Linked DNA regions of Neurospora crassa OR74A. The protein of the gene in region 2 purifies or fractionates together with the protein of the main gene of each other region. This does not show direct contact. Links are inferred from orthologs where the notes say so. Each region holds a gene or a part of one and is shown on either strand. Other genes may lie near its edges.

What was found. Proteins that work in one complex are often made in the same cells at the same time.
Region 1: the proteins of gel-3 (region 2) and NCU08339 purify together in Saccharomyces cerevisiae (affinity purification with western blotting; 3 studies listed by BioGRID). This does not show direct contact. The link is inferred for Neurospora crassa OR74A from reciprocal best matches to the Saccharomyces cerevisiae genes GAS1 and EMP24.

Annotation. Positions count from the first base shown.
Region 1 is NC_026501.1:5,695,175-5,699,027, reverse strand, and holds NCU08339 (endosomal P24B protein), read right to left. Parts: upstream 2,306-3,853; 5' UTR 1,787-2,305; coding exon 1,589-1,786; intron 1,431-1,588; coding exon 1,035-1,430; intron 927-1,034; coding exon 909-926; 3' UTR 549-908; downstream 1-548. Other genes in the region: NCU08338 (hypothetical protein), read left to right, coding at 1-463; NCU08340 (ADP-ribosylation factor 1, variant), read left to right, coding at 3,407-3,563, 3,655-3,853. UniProt on the Saccharomyces cerevisiae protein: Constituent of COPII-coated endoplasmic reticulum-derived transport vesicles. Required for efficient transport of a subset of secretory proteins to the Golgi.
Region 2 is NC_026505.1:671,172-675,235, reverse strand, and holds gel-3 (beta-1,3-glucanosyltransferase), read right to left. Parts: upstream 2,912-4,064; 5' UTR 2,586-2,911; coding exon 2,502-2,585; intron 2,437-2,501; coding exon 892-2,436; 3' UTR 376-891; downstream 1-375.

The DNA.
Region 1 (3,853 bases), on a different chromosome or scaffold from region 2:
TGCCTTCCCGGAGATGTGGCCGGCCACGGTTGCGCTCCACCACGGCTACAAGGCCGTCTTTGCCCCTCACCCTCTGTTCGTCGACCGCGAGTGGCCAACCGAGTACATGGCGCACATCCTCAACGGCGGGCGTAACGGAGCCTCGGGCGGGTCGAGGACGTCCGTGTTTGGTAACCGCGAGCATAACATGAGGGGCCTGACATGGTTTTATAATGCCGGGTTCTCAGCTAACCTGTATAAGCGGTGGTTGGGGCTCAAGATCAATAATGACGGTGGGGAGCAGTTCGAGCTGAAGCCGGATAATAGCGCCGATGACCAGACGGTGTCGACGATGCGCGGCGGCGAGGGGAGGATGTGTTTGCCGCCTATGCTGTTGCATCCGGTTAAGGACGTTGTGTTGCCGGTTGAGCAGGAGGCGGAGGAGGCCAAGGTCACGATCCCAGAGTCGGATCCATCTGCTTGAATGTTTTGCTTGTTTATTTCGTTGAGCGGCGTTTGGGTGATATGTCTAGTGATAACTCTGCTTTGGCCTCAAGTGTCTTGAGTTTGGAGAAGCTTTGAACAGGTTGGGAGTGGCGTTGGTGAATATGACCTAGATGGCAATGCATCATGCAGTAATATTAGACATAGAATCGGGAAATGGAAGATATCTTTCCCCGGGACATCTTGATTACATGGTTCACATGCGTGAGACACGCTAGATTTTCGTTCGTCATGTAGTAGGCAGTTCCATTATCATATCATTTGTTTTCGTATCCCCATCCGGCTGACCCATCCCAAGCGCCCAAATATGAATGGTTCCCAAAGCAACTTGTCGTATAAAGCGACTTAAGTATTATGAAATTGTTGTTGTTATTGATGAGGGGGGGAGTATTCCATCCGATGGGGAGGCAGTATCGGGGTCCAGTTCAAATAACCCGCTTGACCTAGATCAGGAGTTCAGGGGTTAGCTCTTGAGTCCTAGCCATGTCTCCTAGCCTTCTTCTTCTTCCTCTCCCTTCCTGCCAGAGTCCTTGAAAGAGTTGTCAACATACCTCAAAGAACCTCTTCAACCACCAGACTTGGAACAGGGACTCGCCCACCACGACGCCAACGATAAACAGGTTCCACCACTTGACGCGGGCGTTGGTGCTCTCGGCCGTGTTACGGTGGGTGCGCTCGCGCACGACAATGTAGCTCTGCTCGTCCTTGACCATCTCCAACATCTCTGACAGCTTGCGCACCTCAACCTCGAGTGGGTCTTGGGGCGCGTCCGCCTCGGAAATGTACACGATGCCGTGCACGTTGAACGAAACCTCCTTGGTGTTGGCGCCCCAATGCTCGTTGCCGAAGCAATACACATACTTGCCGTCGTGCTTGGCCTCGAACGAAAAATCGCCGTTGGATATAGACTTTTCAAAGGTCTCGTATTGGTTTAGGGGGTTGGTGATCTATGCATCGGCCCTTGTTAGCTTCTCTGTTGCAGGTCTCTTTCTTGCAAGGTTCTTGTTCGGTGTCTGGTCGAAGAATCGAAGATCGATGATGATGAACAGTAGTAGATTGGCGGTCGGGCTACGTGAGGAAAGGTGATACGAAGGGGACGACGCACCCAGAAATCGATGTCGAGATTACCGGCACTGCCAAACTCGCGGTCGCCGACCTGGAAGGTCACCGTCATCTTGTCATCGCGATGGAGGTTCTCGTGGAAGCATTCGCGGCCGTGGGCGGGAAGGACGATGTTGTGAGCGGCGGCGGCGCCGAACAAGCTGGCCGAGAGCAGCAGCTTAGCTGCTGTGAGGAACTGCATTGCGGCCGATTTACGAATTTCCCGGGGATGGCGATGAGCGACTGTGGAGTTTGAAGAGGATTCAAGCAAAGATATGGAAGCTTCCGTTCTGGTTTCGCGAGACGTTTTGGGAGGACAACTTGGCGATTCACAATTACCCCTACCTCTCACAATTCTGGCAGGGCAGCAGAGTGGTACCTAGCGCGGCGCAAGGTCGGGTCCCGCCAGCATGCATGCGAAGTACCTAGGTACACCCAGCCCGGGGCCCCTTTCCTTGTCGCTGCTACCGCGAGCACCCAGGTCCGGGTGTTTGGCCTTGGCGTGTCCCAGCATGAACTGAGACTCTGGCCTATCAGAGTTGCCGGGGTACCGGGGTCCAGGACTCCCCAGGGGGATGACTGGCTTGTGAAGCTCGAGGCTATCAACAATGCCAAATGGCACCTTGGAAGCACAAAGGGACTGGGTAGGCCGAGAAGAAGGGTGCCGTGTCGAATGACGAGCGACTGTGACAAAAACATCAAGGGATTCGGTCCAATGTTCTTCCCTACTTGACCTTTCAAGGTAGGTAATCTTCCAGGAGGGATGGAGGGGTACCAGCAAGGTACCTCGTTGCTCCTGCGTGCTGCTCAGCCGAGTTGACGTTGATGCAGGCGAAAAGGGGCTGGCCAGATAAGGTAGTGTAGTGGTAGCTCTTGAGTAGAGGGCATCTGGTGGGCCGTGCACGCTCTGATGGCGGGGATGCAAGAGCCAAGGAGTCTGAGGAGTGGCCCCTCGAACCCACCCCAACCGAGCCAGCAGTCGTCCCCTCTGGCTGTTCTTTGGAAATCCGCCGGGGGCAACCAGGCGGCCATGCCAGGTGGGCGACCCGTGTGTGGGTGGGTGAGAGCGGGCGGGCGGGCAGGCTACTTGGTGTCGGAACGGTCGCCCTGCCCAAGAACAACTTTCAAAATCCGTGGCAGAGACCTGACGGCCGGAGACACATTCTCGCCCGCTTGCCTTCCTTCCACCGCACACCGCCATCAATCCTACCACCATCCACATTCAACACCATATTTCTGCTGCCACCGGTGACGCGCATCCCAAACATCGCCGTCCCCATTACTTGAGGACAAGCCTCCATAGTAAGTACCCCATCATTGTTGTCGCTTGTCACGATCCCCTTCTCTGGCCCCCCTGGCAGTCAGCGAATCAATCACGCCGTTGCAAGGCACCTCCGTGGTATCCCATCGGCGCTGCCTGCCACAGCTTTCCCATTCCGTGTCTGCCTGCCTCTACCTTCGCACTCGAACGCGTGTCTTCTGGCTGGTGAAGGACGTCGTCGAGTGGCCAAACGACGCCAACCAGTTCGTTACCCGTCGCAGCCCTGCGGGTTTACCTTGTCCGTGGCATGCTGTTGTGTGCCTGAGGATAGCGAATGGCCGGACACCACTTATCTGTCCTCACGCGGGCCGTCGTCATTAAATGCCCACCCGTTGTCCCCATTGTCATCAATCGCACACTTCCTCTCAACACCACCACCCCGACGAGCATTCAACAGTCCATCTCGGCCACACCAACGATCCATTTGCTTACGCTTTGCCGCCGAAACAGATAGTTTTCTACACTTGCAACCTTAGCGTCGCCTAATACACAACCGCCAAGATGGGCAACACGCTCTCGATATTCGGAAAGCTCTTCGATGGGCTCTTCGGCAAGAAGGAGATGAGAATTCTCATGGTCGGTCTCGACGCTGCCGGAAAGACCACTATTCTCTACAAGCTCAAGCTCGGTGAGGTCGTCACGACCATCCCGACCATCGGTACGCCACTCGCCATGCTCCCCCCCTTAGTACATATTGATGGCACAGACCCACTCCTCGCGCGAGCACGCTCACTGACATGTTTGTCCAGGCTTCAACGTCGAAACCGTCGAGTACAAGAACATTCAGTTCACCGTCTGGGATGTCGGTGGTCAGGACAAGATCAGGCCTCTGTGGAGACATTACTTCCAGAACACCCAGGGTATTATTTTCGTAGTCGACAGCAACGATCGCGACCGTGTTGTCGAGGCCCGCGAAGAACTCCAGCGCATGCTCAACGAGGATGAGCT
Region 2 (4,064 bases):
ATCTGCCATCTGCCGGTTTCAATGCCCCTGGAAACGTGAAAATGAATGGCCCGGTACAACATGCATAAACACCAAGTCTGCATATACCTACTGATTACCTGTCACCTCTACAGCTGGAGTGAGTACCTCTGACAATGTAGGGAATGCGAAAACATGGCACACGCATGGATGGTTGATGCGCTTCATGATTTCCTCCATCCTCTTTGCTAGTTTAACTGGGTGGATGGACTCGAGATGGCCTGACGGGCTAGGCACTTCACTTCGGTACCTCTAGGCTGTCTTGCCGCGCAAACGTCGAGGGAGTAGGCAAGCAAAGACTGAGGTAACGACACAAAGACGATCACATCACGTAACAGGAAGACACAAGAGAAGAAGGCGTGCACTTTTCATGGAAGTCACGACAAGACTCTACAAACACCATGTTGGAAGCAAAGACAATGCGAAGTTAATCAACTGTCTATGTTGATATCTGATAAAGAAAAAAAAAGGTATCCTAGAATGATCAATGGCTACAGAAGTGGTGATGTGATGACCAGCTGCGCTCGAGACAAACAAACAACCCTCCTTTTGTGATAAGGAAAACTGATAGAAAGAGATCTAAACCGCTGTTTCCAAGGTATCAATAATCCCTTACAGAAACGAACCAAACATAAAAAACAGAAAAAGGTGCGCCGGTGAAAGAGACAATCAGACTCATTAGACTTCCCAACAACATATGCAAATGGTTTCTTGTGCTCGGGAGCGGGTGTACCATAAGACATCAATTTATTACACACAAAAACCTAACCGACATCTAAAAGCGAACCACACCAACCCCCATATACATGCTTTCCTCCTGATCTCCCGGGTATACAACAACCAACGAACTCTCCCTTCGCTCACTTGACTTGCTTAGAGCATGACCATGCCGGCACCAACGCCCATGGCGATGACGACGTACATACCAACGGCCATGTCGGCAACAGTGAAGAAGCTCTTCATGGCGACAGGGGCAGCGAACGAGGAGCTAGTGGCAGCAGCACCGCCGCTGGAACCATCGACACCACCGTTGCCGTGGCCAGCAGTGGCGGTGGCAGCGACCTTGTTGGCAGCCTCAGCGCTCTTGAGAGCGGCAGAGCAGGTAGGGTCGGCCTTGGCGGCACCGTTGGCGGAGGCCTGACCGTTGAAGTCGCAGGCGGTGGAAGCGTACTTCTGGTTCTTGTAGTACTGGTCCATGACGTAGCCGAGCTGCTGGAGGGAGTTGCACATGGCGTAGGAGCCGTAGACACCAGTGGAGACGTTACCCTGGATACCAGCGCAGGCAGCGGGGTCGTTGCCGCAGACGACACCGAAGAGCTCACCGTAGGCAGTGGGCTTGACATCCTTGCTGGGAACGCAGGTGAGGGAGTTGTACATGCACTCGCAGAGGCTCTCGTTGGGAGTAGGGGGGAGAGCGTCGCCAGTGACCTGCCAGTTGGAGGTGACATCCGGGCACTCGGCAGGCTCGTTGGCGGGCTTGTAGGAATCGAGTTCGACGGTCTTGGGCTTGGCGGCGAGGACGTTGGCCTTGAGCTTGTCGTAGTTCTTCATGGTCTTAGCGCTGTTGCCGGAAACCTTGACGAGACCATAGTCGTTGTCCTCCTCGAAGTACATGTAGACGATACCGCCAGAGAAGACGTCAGTCATAGCATCAGAGTAAAGGGCGGTGGTCTCCTCGAAGATACGGCCGTCGGCACCGTCGGGGATGTTGCAACCGTACTCGGCGAAGAAGACGGGGACCGAGTAGTTCTTGAAGAAGTCGATCTGGTCCTGGTAGCCGGAGCCCTTGATGGTGTTGTGACCGCACCACTCGTAGATGTTGTAGCCCCAGAAGTCGATGGCCTCGCTCTGGTTGCCGCAGTTGAAGAAGTGCGCCATCTCGGAACGGATCTTAGCGTCGTCGTTGGCGGCATAGCCAACACCCATCCAACGCTTGACGTTGTTCTTGATGTAGTTCTTGGAGTCACGGACAGCAGCCTTGACGTAGGCAGAAGCGTCGGTGTTGGTGGCGTTGTTAGAAACCTCGTTACCGGCGAAGAAACCGATGACGTTGCTGTACTTGCTCATCTCGTCGATAACGGCGGTGTAGCGCTTGTAGAGAGTGATGTCCCACCTGGGGTCGTCGCGGTTGATGGAGGTGGAGGGCTCGGACAAATCGCTGATGACGTAGATGCCAGCCTCGTCAAGGAGCTTCATGCAGGCGCTGTGGTCGGCAGTAGGGTCGATGGCGTAGGTACGGATGGCGTTGGTGCCAGCGGCGGCCATGATGGGAACATCACGCTTGCAGGCGGCCTCGTCGGCGAGGGGATCCTTGAAGGTACCCGTGGTTGTCTCGCCACCAGCGCCAGCAGCATCCTGCTGGTAGGCAATACCCTTGATGTAGAACTGGGTGCCGTTCTCGTAGAAGAACTTGCTGCCCTGTGGAATCGAGTGTGGTTAGCATTGGAGGCGCTTCGAGGGTGCGACGGTGGTGGTATGCCTACCTTCATGACGATGGGCTGGAGAGCAGCGGAAGCCTGGCCCGCAAGGGTGAGGCCCGCGACAATGGCGGCTTTAGAGGTAACCATTTTTGCTGTGTGTCAAAATGTTGATTAAAGGCGGTGTTCTATTCGGCGCAGAAAATGGATGAAGATACGGCGCAAAGTATCGATGTCGGGAATTATCCTCCAGCTGTTGGCCGAGTGTATCGTGTAATTATGTTTCCTTTAAAGAGTGTGGGAAGAGATAGAATGAAAAGAGGCAGTAGCGAAAGACCTCTATAATGTGTTCAGCCCCCTTCTATGGATGGATTTGGGTGGATGGGCAGGAGTGAGTGAATGGAGAGAAGATGGAGGAAATGGAAAATGGAAACAGGTCAGGACTTTGGGGGGGGGGGGGACATGCGGTGGAAAAAGGAGGAAAGAAGAAGGCGACGGAGATTGGCAAGCGTGGAAATGGAGACCAAGTTGGTCTGTGCGTCAGCTTGTGTGTGTCGTGGTGGGTCCGCTATTGGCCGGTCAGCCCGGTGGTGTGGTGGGAGGGGAGGGAGTGGGTCAAGAACCCCAGCAACCTACGGGCCCATCGATGTCTCCAGTCCGCTCACGCATGCCTGCTGCAGCAGACGGACGATGCAGTGCAGTGGAAGGGGCCTACCTACACCAACCTAAACAGTTGACAGCACAGACTCCAGTCGCGAAGAGTCGTCCAACTACCTTCCTATCATTGATGCGTCCATCATCACACTGTGAACCTACCTAATCTCTATGTCGCAGACCTCATCGGCCAACCATCTTGTTTTTCCATTCGGCAGCTTTCCAGTCAATGTTCTGGCCGTCAACATGTCTCCAACGCCACACGGCACCGTAAAAGATGAACTCGAAACCGACGGGTGGAGTCGTCTACATGGGGACTGAGTGGGTTTCGTCGCATGTGGGATTGGTAGTGTGTACATAATTCGTTTTACGCAGGGATGATCAGACATTGGGGGAGGAGTTCTGGATTCCTCTTTGCCCGGTTTCGTCGCTCATGTCTGGAGACACAGAAACACATTGAATCCAATGAATCGTTATTGATACGCCAACGGCCACAACACGGCTTCGTTCGATGCTGCCGGGATTCCATCAAAGTCGATGCAGCATGCACGTAAATCCCGTGTGCATATCACCATGTTGACCAGATTTAAAGGCCGTTGACCGCCCATCGCACCGTTGTAGTATCAGTGTGCCATCTTCATTTCGCCTGTTGACAATGTGTGGACTCGTCTCCAGAGAGGACCTACGTACCCTTTTTCTCTAGGAGGAGTCGTGGAAGCTCTACCGAACCTGGGGCAGACAAGCAGCATTGTGTGGACCAACCGAGGAACGGGCATTGAGCGACCGGCCCAGGGGGTTCGATTGTTTGGCTGACATCGATCGGTTCGTTCATTTTCTGGCGACCAAAGATTGAACCCTTCAAGGAGAAGTTCAAGGGAAGCCGATCGATGATCCCGATGGCACGTGACATGGCCGTCCAGAAGAGGAGGGAATGTCCGACGCCACTTCCGCCGGCCTGCCATTTCAAGCATTCCG